Callithrix jacchus: one gene and its partner. The protein of the gene in region 2 binds, or shares a complex with, the protein of the main gene of each other region. Links are inferred from orthologs where the notes say so. Each region holds a gene or a part of one and is shown on either strand. Other genes may lie near its edges.

What was found. Proteins that work in one complex are often made in the same cells at the same time.
Region 1: the proteins of DLD (region 2) and DBT are in contact, whole or in part, in a crystal structure (PDB 3RNM), measured with the Homo sapiens proteins. The link is inferred for Callithrix jacchus from reciprocal best matches to the Homo sapiens genes DLD and DBT. Residues at the interface, in NP_000099.2 of Homo sapiens: Ser446, Thr447, Asp448, Arg449, Glu472, Tyr473, Gly474, Ser476, Glu478, Asp479, Arg482; in NP_001909.4 of Homo sapiens: Thr174, Pro175, Ala176, Lys196, Arg199, Leu201, Lys202, Glu203, Leu206.

What each region holds. Positions count from the first base shown.
Region 1 is NC_133508.1:145,606,718-145,611,058, reverse strand, and holds the start of DBT (lipoamide acyltransferase component of branched-chain alpha-keto acid dehydrogenase complex, mitochondrial), read right to left. Parts: upstream 2,841-4,341; 5' UTR 2,791-2,840; exon of another isoform or gene 2,598-2,790; 5' UTR 2,426-2,597; intron 1,890-2,425; 5' UTR 1,814-1,889; coding exon 1,706-1,813; intron 1-1,705. Other genes in the region: RTCA (RNA 3'-terminal phosphate cyclase), read left to right, coding at 3,053-3,097, 3,201-3,301. UniProt on the Homo sapiens protein: The branched-chain alpha-keto dehydrogenase complex catalyzes the overall conversion of alpha-keto acids to acyl-CoA and CO(2).
Region 2 is NC_133512.1:78,360,593-78,364,153, reverse strand, and holds part of DLD (dihydrolipoyl dehydrogenase, mitochondrial), read right to left. Parts: intron 3,412-3,561; coding exon 3,268-3,411; intron 2,511-3,267; coding exon 2,409-2,510; intron 1-2,408. UniProt on the Homo sapiens protein: Lipoamide dehydrogenase is a component of the glycine cleavage system as well as an E3 component of three alpha-ketoacid dehydrogenase complexes (pyruvate-, alpha-ketoglutarate-, and branched-chain amino acid-dehydrogenase complex).

The DNA.
Region 1 (4,341 bases), on a different chromosome or scaffold from region 2:
TGGCCTTAGATCAAGTTTATTAGCTGTTATGTTTATTAGTTTTCTTGTCTTTCCTAAATTTTCATTTGCTTGAGCTACAAATAATTGAGCTAAACTTTCAGTGTAGTAGTGGATTTACCAGTTTCTTCAATGTCTGACTTACATATTTTGAAGGTATTTATTACACACAAAGGTTTGAATAACGTATTTTCCTGGTGACTGCAATTTTTATTATTTTGTAGTGACTCTTTTTGGTCAATGATAGTGCTTTTTGTTTGAAAGTCTAATTTGTCACTAATATCGGTATACCAGCTTTCTTTTTTTTTTGGCATTTATGTGGTGTATCTTTTCCATCATTTTATTTTCAACTCCTCATTATCCTTAAAGTTTTTGGTGCATCTCTTGTTAACGGCACTTTTTTTTTTTCCAATCAATCTCTGGTTTTTAAATTTTTTAAATTTGCGGGTAGGTGTCATCCAACAATCTCTGGCTTTTCATTAGGAAATGTATTTACTTTCATTGTTACTATTGATCTGTATGAATTTATTTCTATTCTGTTACTTTAGTGCTTTCTTTCCATCCTGTTGTTTATGCTGATTATGGTATTATGCTTTTGCTTAATGTGTATTTTCTTGTTAGTCCATTTTTTTCCTTCAGCTGGATTAGAAGTAATACACTTTCATGGTTATTCTTGAAACTTTACCTTACCTACTTATGTTAAACCTTGAATTATGTCAACTGTATTAATTGATATCTTAATTACAAAGAGAGACCTCAGAATTCTTTAACTTTTGTCATCCACCTCTTGTCTTACATTTGTTGTCTGGTGTTATTTTGGGTAATGTTTGCTTAGATTCAACTATGTGTTTACAGTTTCTTTCGCTCATCACTTCTATTTCAGACTCTTCTTCTGAAGTAATTTTTCTTTCTGAAGCACATCCTTTAGAACATCCTTTAGAAAGTACAGGTAAATGTTAAACTCAGTTTCCATGTATCTGGAAATTATTTTATTTCTATACTTCCCTTTAATTCTTGAAAGATAATTTTGCTGAGTGTCCAATTCTAAGTTGATGGTTATTTTCTGTCAGCACTCTGAAGGTACAATTCTACTGTCTTTTTGACTTCCATTATTCTATTGAGGACTCTGTTATTGGTCTAACTGTCATTTGTTATTAAAATAACCCAGGATTTAACCCAACTCTGCCACTTTCTTGTTCTGTCATCTTGGCATGTCACTTCAATTACCTAGGCCTCAGTCCCTCATTGACCAAAGAGAGATGAGAACGCCAACCTCACAGCTTTCTAATGAACATTAAGACAGATCACGTATATGAAAGCACTACACAAGTGCTTATTATTACCATAATTTGCTCATCTCTACATTATATTACCATCTTGTTCTTTTCTCCCTACCACCGGAAGTAGTCAGAATGGGGCAAAGGGTCATAGTAAGGAATTAATAGCCAAAGTTAGACATAAAAAGGCAAGGCTTCTTCTGGGAAGGTTAAGTTTCTGTAATAGGAATCTAAGATGTCAGATAGGAGTACAGCTTTTTCATATTCCATCGCTACCATCATTGCCTTACTTCAGCTTCTCATTATCTTTTGCTGGATATTTGCATCATTGGCATTTCTCCCTTCAGGCTCTTAAGCCTCTTATTCACCCTCCTCATACTACCAAAGCCTTCATTCTAAAATGCGAATATGATTACTTCCTTGATTAATACCTTATGGCAAATTCCAGATTTGGTTAAGTTCCTAGTCTGTGTGTTCCGCAAAACATTCTCTGTCGCAAAAGCAGCAGTGTTGAGATTACCAGACAGTGGTGTTAACATCAGACCACCCGGGTTCACATCCCAGTCTTCTAGTTAAAATTGTGTGAATCTGTAGCAAATTGTTTAACACAGGAAGCTGTAAAACAGTCAAAACAGTAAGCACTTTATCATGTTGTGAATGCATGCGGTGCACAATATCTAAGTGCTCAGTAAAGTTGCCTGTTATAGGATATTATTAATATATTGTAATTGTCCCCATAAACTGTAAGATAAATACAGTACATGCTATTATTACCGAGGATGACATTGTAATTGATAACGTCTCAGTCTCTTCATTATACCTCCAATAACTTAAGGAATAGAAGCTGACTTACTCTAGAGGCTTGCATAGTATTTGGTAAGCCAAATACTTACTTAACAAATTCTCAATCTTGTTGGAATTGAGCCCCAGGCAGAACCGAGAAGCTGACTGTTGCTTCTGCCCTCGACTGAGGTGAATTGATAGCTGCACTGTTCCTCGGAGTCAAGAACTTGCACTCATTCTCAAGCAAGACGGCATAACTTTGGCCTTTCAAAGTATTAAACTAGTGATTCTGCCTTGCCCGCCCCTCAAATAAATGCCGTGTCACCCTAGAAACAAAGATAACACTCTCCGCACACACAAACACGCACCCCTCGAGGAACGAAGGGCTGAGAATATAAATGCACCAAGGCGCACGCACTTCGAGAGACAGGCACAGTGAAGGCAAATCCAACCAGAGAGAAGGTGGTCGGTGCATCGCAGGGTCTGGATCTTTCTTGCATCTTCAGCTATAAAAGTGGGCACCTCGGGGTATGCCAGGATCTTCGAGAAAACAGAAACACATTATTTACCCAGAAAACAAAGATAAAGCACAAGCCTGCAGGATAACTGGAGGATGTGGTTACAGTTGAGACTTTCTGCAACCTGCAGATTTTGCTGTGTCAAAGGCACAAGTCTGTCAGGGATCCTGGGCACCTCCGCGACCACCACCCCACCTCTCCGGAACCTTCCTCACCTGCACAGCAGGTTTCCCGGAGCGGCGCCTTTAAGCCGAGCTATGCGCATGCGCACTGGCTGTAGAACAGCGGGAGCCGGGGTTCCTTTCTGCTGACTCCGGTTTCCCCTAGAGGCGTCGCTTCTTCCGCTTTCTCGCCAGGCTCCTGCAGTCCCAGCCGTGAACCGAGATTTCTGAACTACTGGGCGAGAGCCAACGTCTCTTCTTCCTTCTGTTCCGGCGGAGGCTTTGTCGCTGTCGGCTGGGCCCCAAGGTGCCCCCCATGGCGGGGCCGCGGGTGGAAGTTGATGGCAGCATCATGGAAGGGGTGAGTGCAGAGCGAAGCGGCGGGGGCTGCAGCCAGACTAAGGAAGGGAGTTCTCACCATTGGTGTGCTTACGTCTCTTCTCCATGTATCCCACCCTTTGCAGGGCGGCCAGATCCTGAGAGTCTCTACGGCCTTGAGCTGTCTCCTGGGCCTCCCCTTGCGGGTGCAGAAGATCCGAGCCGGCCGGAGCACGCCAGGCCTGAGGTAAATCTGGCTGGCCGGGGAGTTGCGGCGTGAAGTTTGGGGATCCGGGGATCAGGCGCAGGGCTGCTGGGCTGGGGCATCGGGTGTCCGAGTGGTGGAACCCTGAAGGTCCTGGCTGCAGGTATGGGGGGATCCGGGGCCGGGACGCTCTGCCTGGGCGGTGGCCTGTGTTGTAAGGTCTTGGAAGCCTCGAGGGGGTGAGTTTAGAAATGGTCTCGAGTTTTCTCTGTTTGGCTAAAATAGTCCCATTTTGCTAAAGAGCTATCTCTTAAAATGTTTTCCCACCTCACCGGGCATTCCAAATATCCGAATAGTACGTATGAGCAGGCAAGATATATAGGGCAGAAATGCTTGTGAGGCCAGAGGAAACCCTGTTTTTTAACCAGTGCATTCTGTGCTGCTGCAGTTTTAGGATCCTGAGACGTGTTATTCCAGCTTTCATTCATACCTCCAGAGAGCTGTTATGACTAGAATTATTTCTTGTGAAGAGGAAAACACCTTGACACTTGACCTTATTTCTTCTGTCTGGGTAGCTGGGCATGCCACTAGTTGAGTTTTGGGTATATGCACCTGTTAGAAGAGGACTCAGGTTGAAGCCACACTGATTTCTTTGTATGTATTCTATATTTATTACATTTTAATAAATCAGCGATCTCAGTCTCTTATCTACAGTTTTGAAATTACCAAAGGCAATTGCTGATATATGTTGATGTTAACTGCCTTTGTCATAGTTGTTTGCAGCCCTCCAGTTCACCAACAGGGGAATCCAATTCATTAGGCTGTAGGTGTTGTGTTAGTTCATAGGGCTGCCATAACAAAATACCACACACACAGGGTGGCTTAAACAACAGAAATTTATTTCCTCACAGTTCTGGAGCCTGTCCAAGATCAAGGTCCTGACAGGGTTGGTTTCCTCTGAGAGTCATAAGAAAAGGATTTACTCCAGGCCTCTCTTTTTGCCTCTTCACATCGTGGTTCCTCTGTGCACTCAGCCCCTAGTGTCTCTGTATATCCTAGTCTCTTTTTATAAGGACACCAGT
Region 2 (3,561 bases):
CCATTGAAGGGTGTTAAGCAGAGAAGGAACATGGTTAAATCTGTGTTATAGAAAAATCACTCTAGCCACGATGAGGAGGATCAGAAAAAGATGAAAGAAACCAGAAGACCTAGGGCAAGACATGATGCTGGCCCGAACTAGTATCTAAACAGAAGAGTGAAGAGAAGTAAATATATTGTGTGTGTGTGTGTGTGTGTGTGTGCACGCACGCGCGCGCGTGTGTGCGCGTGTTAGGACTCAGTGACTGAGTGAAATGGTGGGGGAGGGGACAGGAGAAATCATGTGTAAGTCCCAAACCTCTTGCTTAAACCTTTATGTAGACAGCAGTACCCACCCGTTGAGATGGGAAATGCTACGAGAGAAATAAGTTTGGGTTTATTTGAGGTGAAGGGTGGGAGTAGGACGGGGATAGAAACGTTAAGTCGTACATTTAGTGAACAGAATACCCATAAGACTCACAAGTAGACATTCAGGTATAAAAGTCTGGAGGCAAAGAGAAAGGATCAGGCTGCAGATACCTGTAGTCCTTGGGTAACTGAGGTGAGAGTGAAGAGAATATTCTGTAGAAAGGCAAAAAATGTCTAGGACACAACCCTAAGATAGAATCTAGAGTAATACTAACAATTAAAGGGATCCTAAGAAAGTGGAACTTGCATAATATGGAGAATTCAGCCCAAAGAATAGATGGAAAACTGGCAGAATATGGATTCAGAGACAGTAGGGAAAGAGTTTCAAAGGCAAGAAAATCAACAATGCTAATTACTGTCAAATAAAGCAGTGAAGAAATCAGTCCACCAGATTGAGCAATAAATGCATACATGTCCTTAAAGCAATTTATTGGCACAAACCATACACTGAGGAGTGAGTGGAAGTTGATGAAATAAAGCATGGACTCTTTTGAGAAGCTGGGTTTTAAATGGGAAAGTGAGAAGGAAACTGGTCACTGAAGGAGGACATAGGACCAAGGGAAGGCTTATTAATGTGCCCACAAGCCAGTGTTAATGAGCGCAAATGCATCTGAGCATGTGTATGGTACACAGGTGCACACACAGAGGCACGCAGAATTGTAAATGAGAAAGAAGCCGAAGTAGAAAAGAGTTTGAAGACTGAAAAATACAACAATAAACAACACAAAATCAAGTCAATGAAAAGGCAGATGATGTGTTACCAAGCACAAGTAACGGGATTAGTCTTAGGGAAAAACGGCATTTCCATGGTAATTGGAGAGATAATCAAAAGGATAGGTATAACAACAGGTAAAAGAGTTTTCAAATTTAGGGCATCAACTTGAGGAAATTCTCATCTGATGATTTCTCTTTTATGTAATATTTAGGAGACAAGGTCATCCACAGGCAGGGAAAACAGTATACAAGCAGAGATTTGAGAAGAGCAGAAAACAAAATGGCCATTACAGAGACCAGGACAGTGTACCATCTTAGGAAATAATAAATTATCAGCAAGGCTGAGGTTCCTGTTGAGGTTTGTGCCAAGAATTTACACAAATACCAATGTGCAGGGTGTTTTTTTCTCCGGGTGCAGTCAACAGCCTGGAAATAGCATAAAAAAGGCAGACTGCTGCATTCAAACAGGACTAGAGTTTTACCAAGCAGATATGACAGAACAGTGAGGCAGGCAACTCAAGGACACCTGTAAGAATGTGGCTAATGTGATGGACTATGGCATCTAAGCTGATCAGGAAGACAGTCAAGACCAGAAAGGGCAGATTGCAAAAAAAGTAGATCTATGGACTAGAAAACCTAAAAAAGGGTACAAACACTACAAATAACTAAGTAGACAGGAGGTCACAGTTAGATAATAAAAATCTGAATTTATTATTTCAGAAGTAGAGCAATTCCTGGTGATTACAGGCACAGTGGCTCTAAAATGAAGGGAGGTCATTGGAAATGTGTGGAAAGCTGCCAGATGGACAAGAAGGGAGGACAAGGCAGACACAATGTCTAAAATAACATGGTGTTCACAGAAAGGCAAGTAGTCTGACATTTCTAAAACCTAAGTTAAGAGGCATCAAGATAAGGATAGAGAAGGGAAGAGCCAAATCATGTATGTCACGGTAAAGAGAATAATCTTTATCTGGAATGCAATTTGCTCAGGATGAGAGCTATCCTCAAATATCTGAAGGGCTGTTGTATTAAAAAAGAATCAGACCACTTCTAGGAAATAGGAAGGGTGGAAGGTTCAAGGAAACAGACTAAAATAGAACATTCTAATGAGTGAATGCATAAATAGGTTGTCTTGGAAAAAACAAAAGTAAACTCTTTATTACTAGAAGTATTTAAGCGAAACTCAATGCTGATCAGCCTATAATGTTATACAAAGAATCAAAAAGGGGACCATTAAGTCCCTTTCAATTCCAAGGAGATAATAAGAGGCAGAAAGACAACACTTACCAATTCTACACCTATTACTCCTGCACCAATAACAACCATCTTTTCTGGAACTTTTTTTAATGATAAAGCACCTGTAGATGACACTATTGTATCTTCATCAATCTGTAAGAAAAACAAAAGATATAATCAAAATAACCTGAAAAAACCTAGTATAATCAACCCTCCATATCCATGGGTTCTGAATTTGCAGATTTAACCAACCAGATGAACTGAAAATATTCAGAAAAAAATTGATGTTTACATCTATACTGAACAGGTACAGATGGTTTTCTTGTCATTATTCCCTAAACAATACAGTGTAAGAACTACCTGCATAGCATTTATAATGTATTAGGTATTATAAGTAACCTAGAGAGGACTTAAAGTATACAGGAGGACAGATGCAAATTATATGCAAATACAATGTCATTTTATGCAAGGCACTTGAGTATGTGCAGGTTTTGGTAACCAAGGGGTTCCTGGAACCAATCCTCCACGAATATGAAGAGACAAGTGTATTTATAAACTGTGAACTCAGTAGAATCACTAAAACTAAGTCATTTATTTATTTTGAGGTATCTATATACCCAATTTCATCAAATCCCACTGAAAATGCTAACTTTAAATTTTATCATTCAATATTCGAAAATGCAACAGTCAATTTTAACTTCATACTGTAATCAAACATATCTTAATATTCCAAATCTAGTCAATATCATTACAGAATAAAGACAGGAAACTTCCCAAAGCTGAATGACCATTAAAATATCATATTTCAGGCAGAAATTTCTCATTCAAAGTTCACAAATAGCACGCATAATTTACAAAACCTATTTCTTAAGAAAAGTTGTAATGGTTGTAAATGATAAAGCATAAATACCGTGATTCCAGGAAAAGGAGTAACTTCTGAACCCGTAGCTATAAGAATATTCTTTGTATCAATAACTTGAGTGCTGCCATCAGCTTTCGTAGCAGTGACTTGATTTTTGCCAGTTATCTTTCCATATCCATTGACATGAACAACCTTTATGAAATAACGTTTAATAATTCACAAAGTTTAAAGTAATTTGTTTGATAAATCATTCGAAGGAAAAATACTCTAAATCATATCTAAAACAAAAGGCTACATTACTTAGTAATGCTACACATGGTGCAGCAAAAAATCTGTGATACA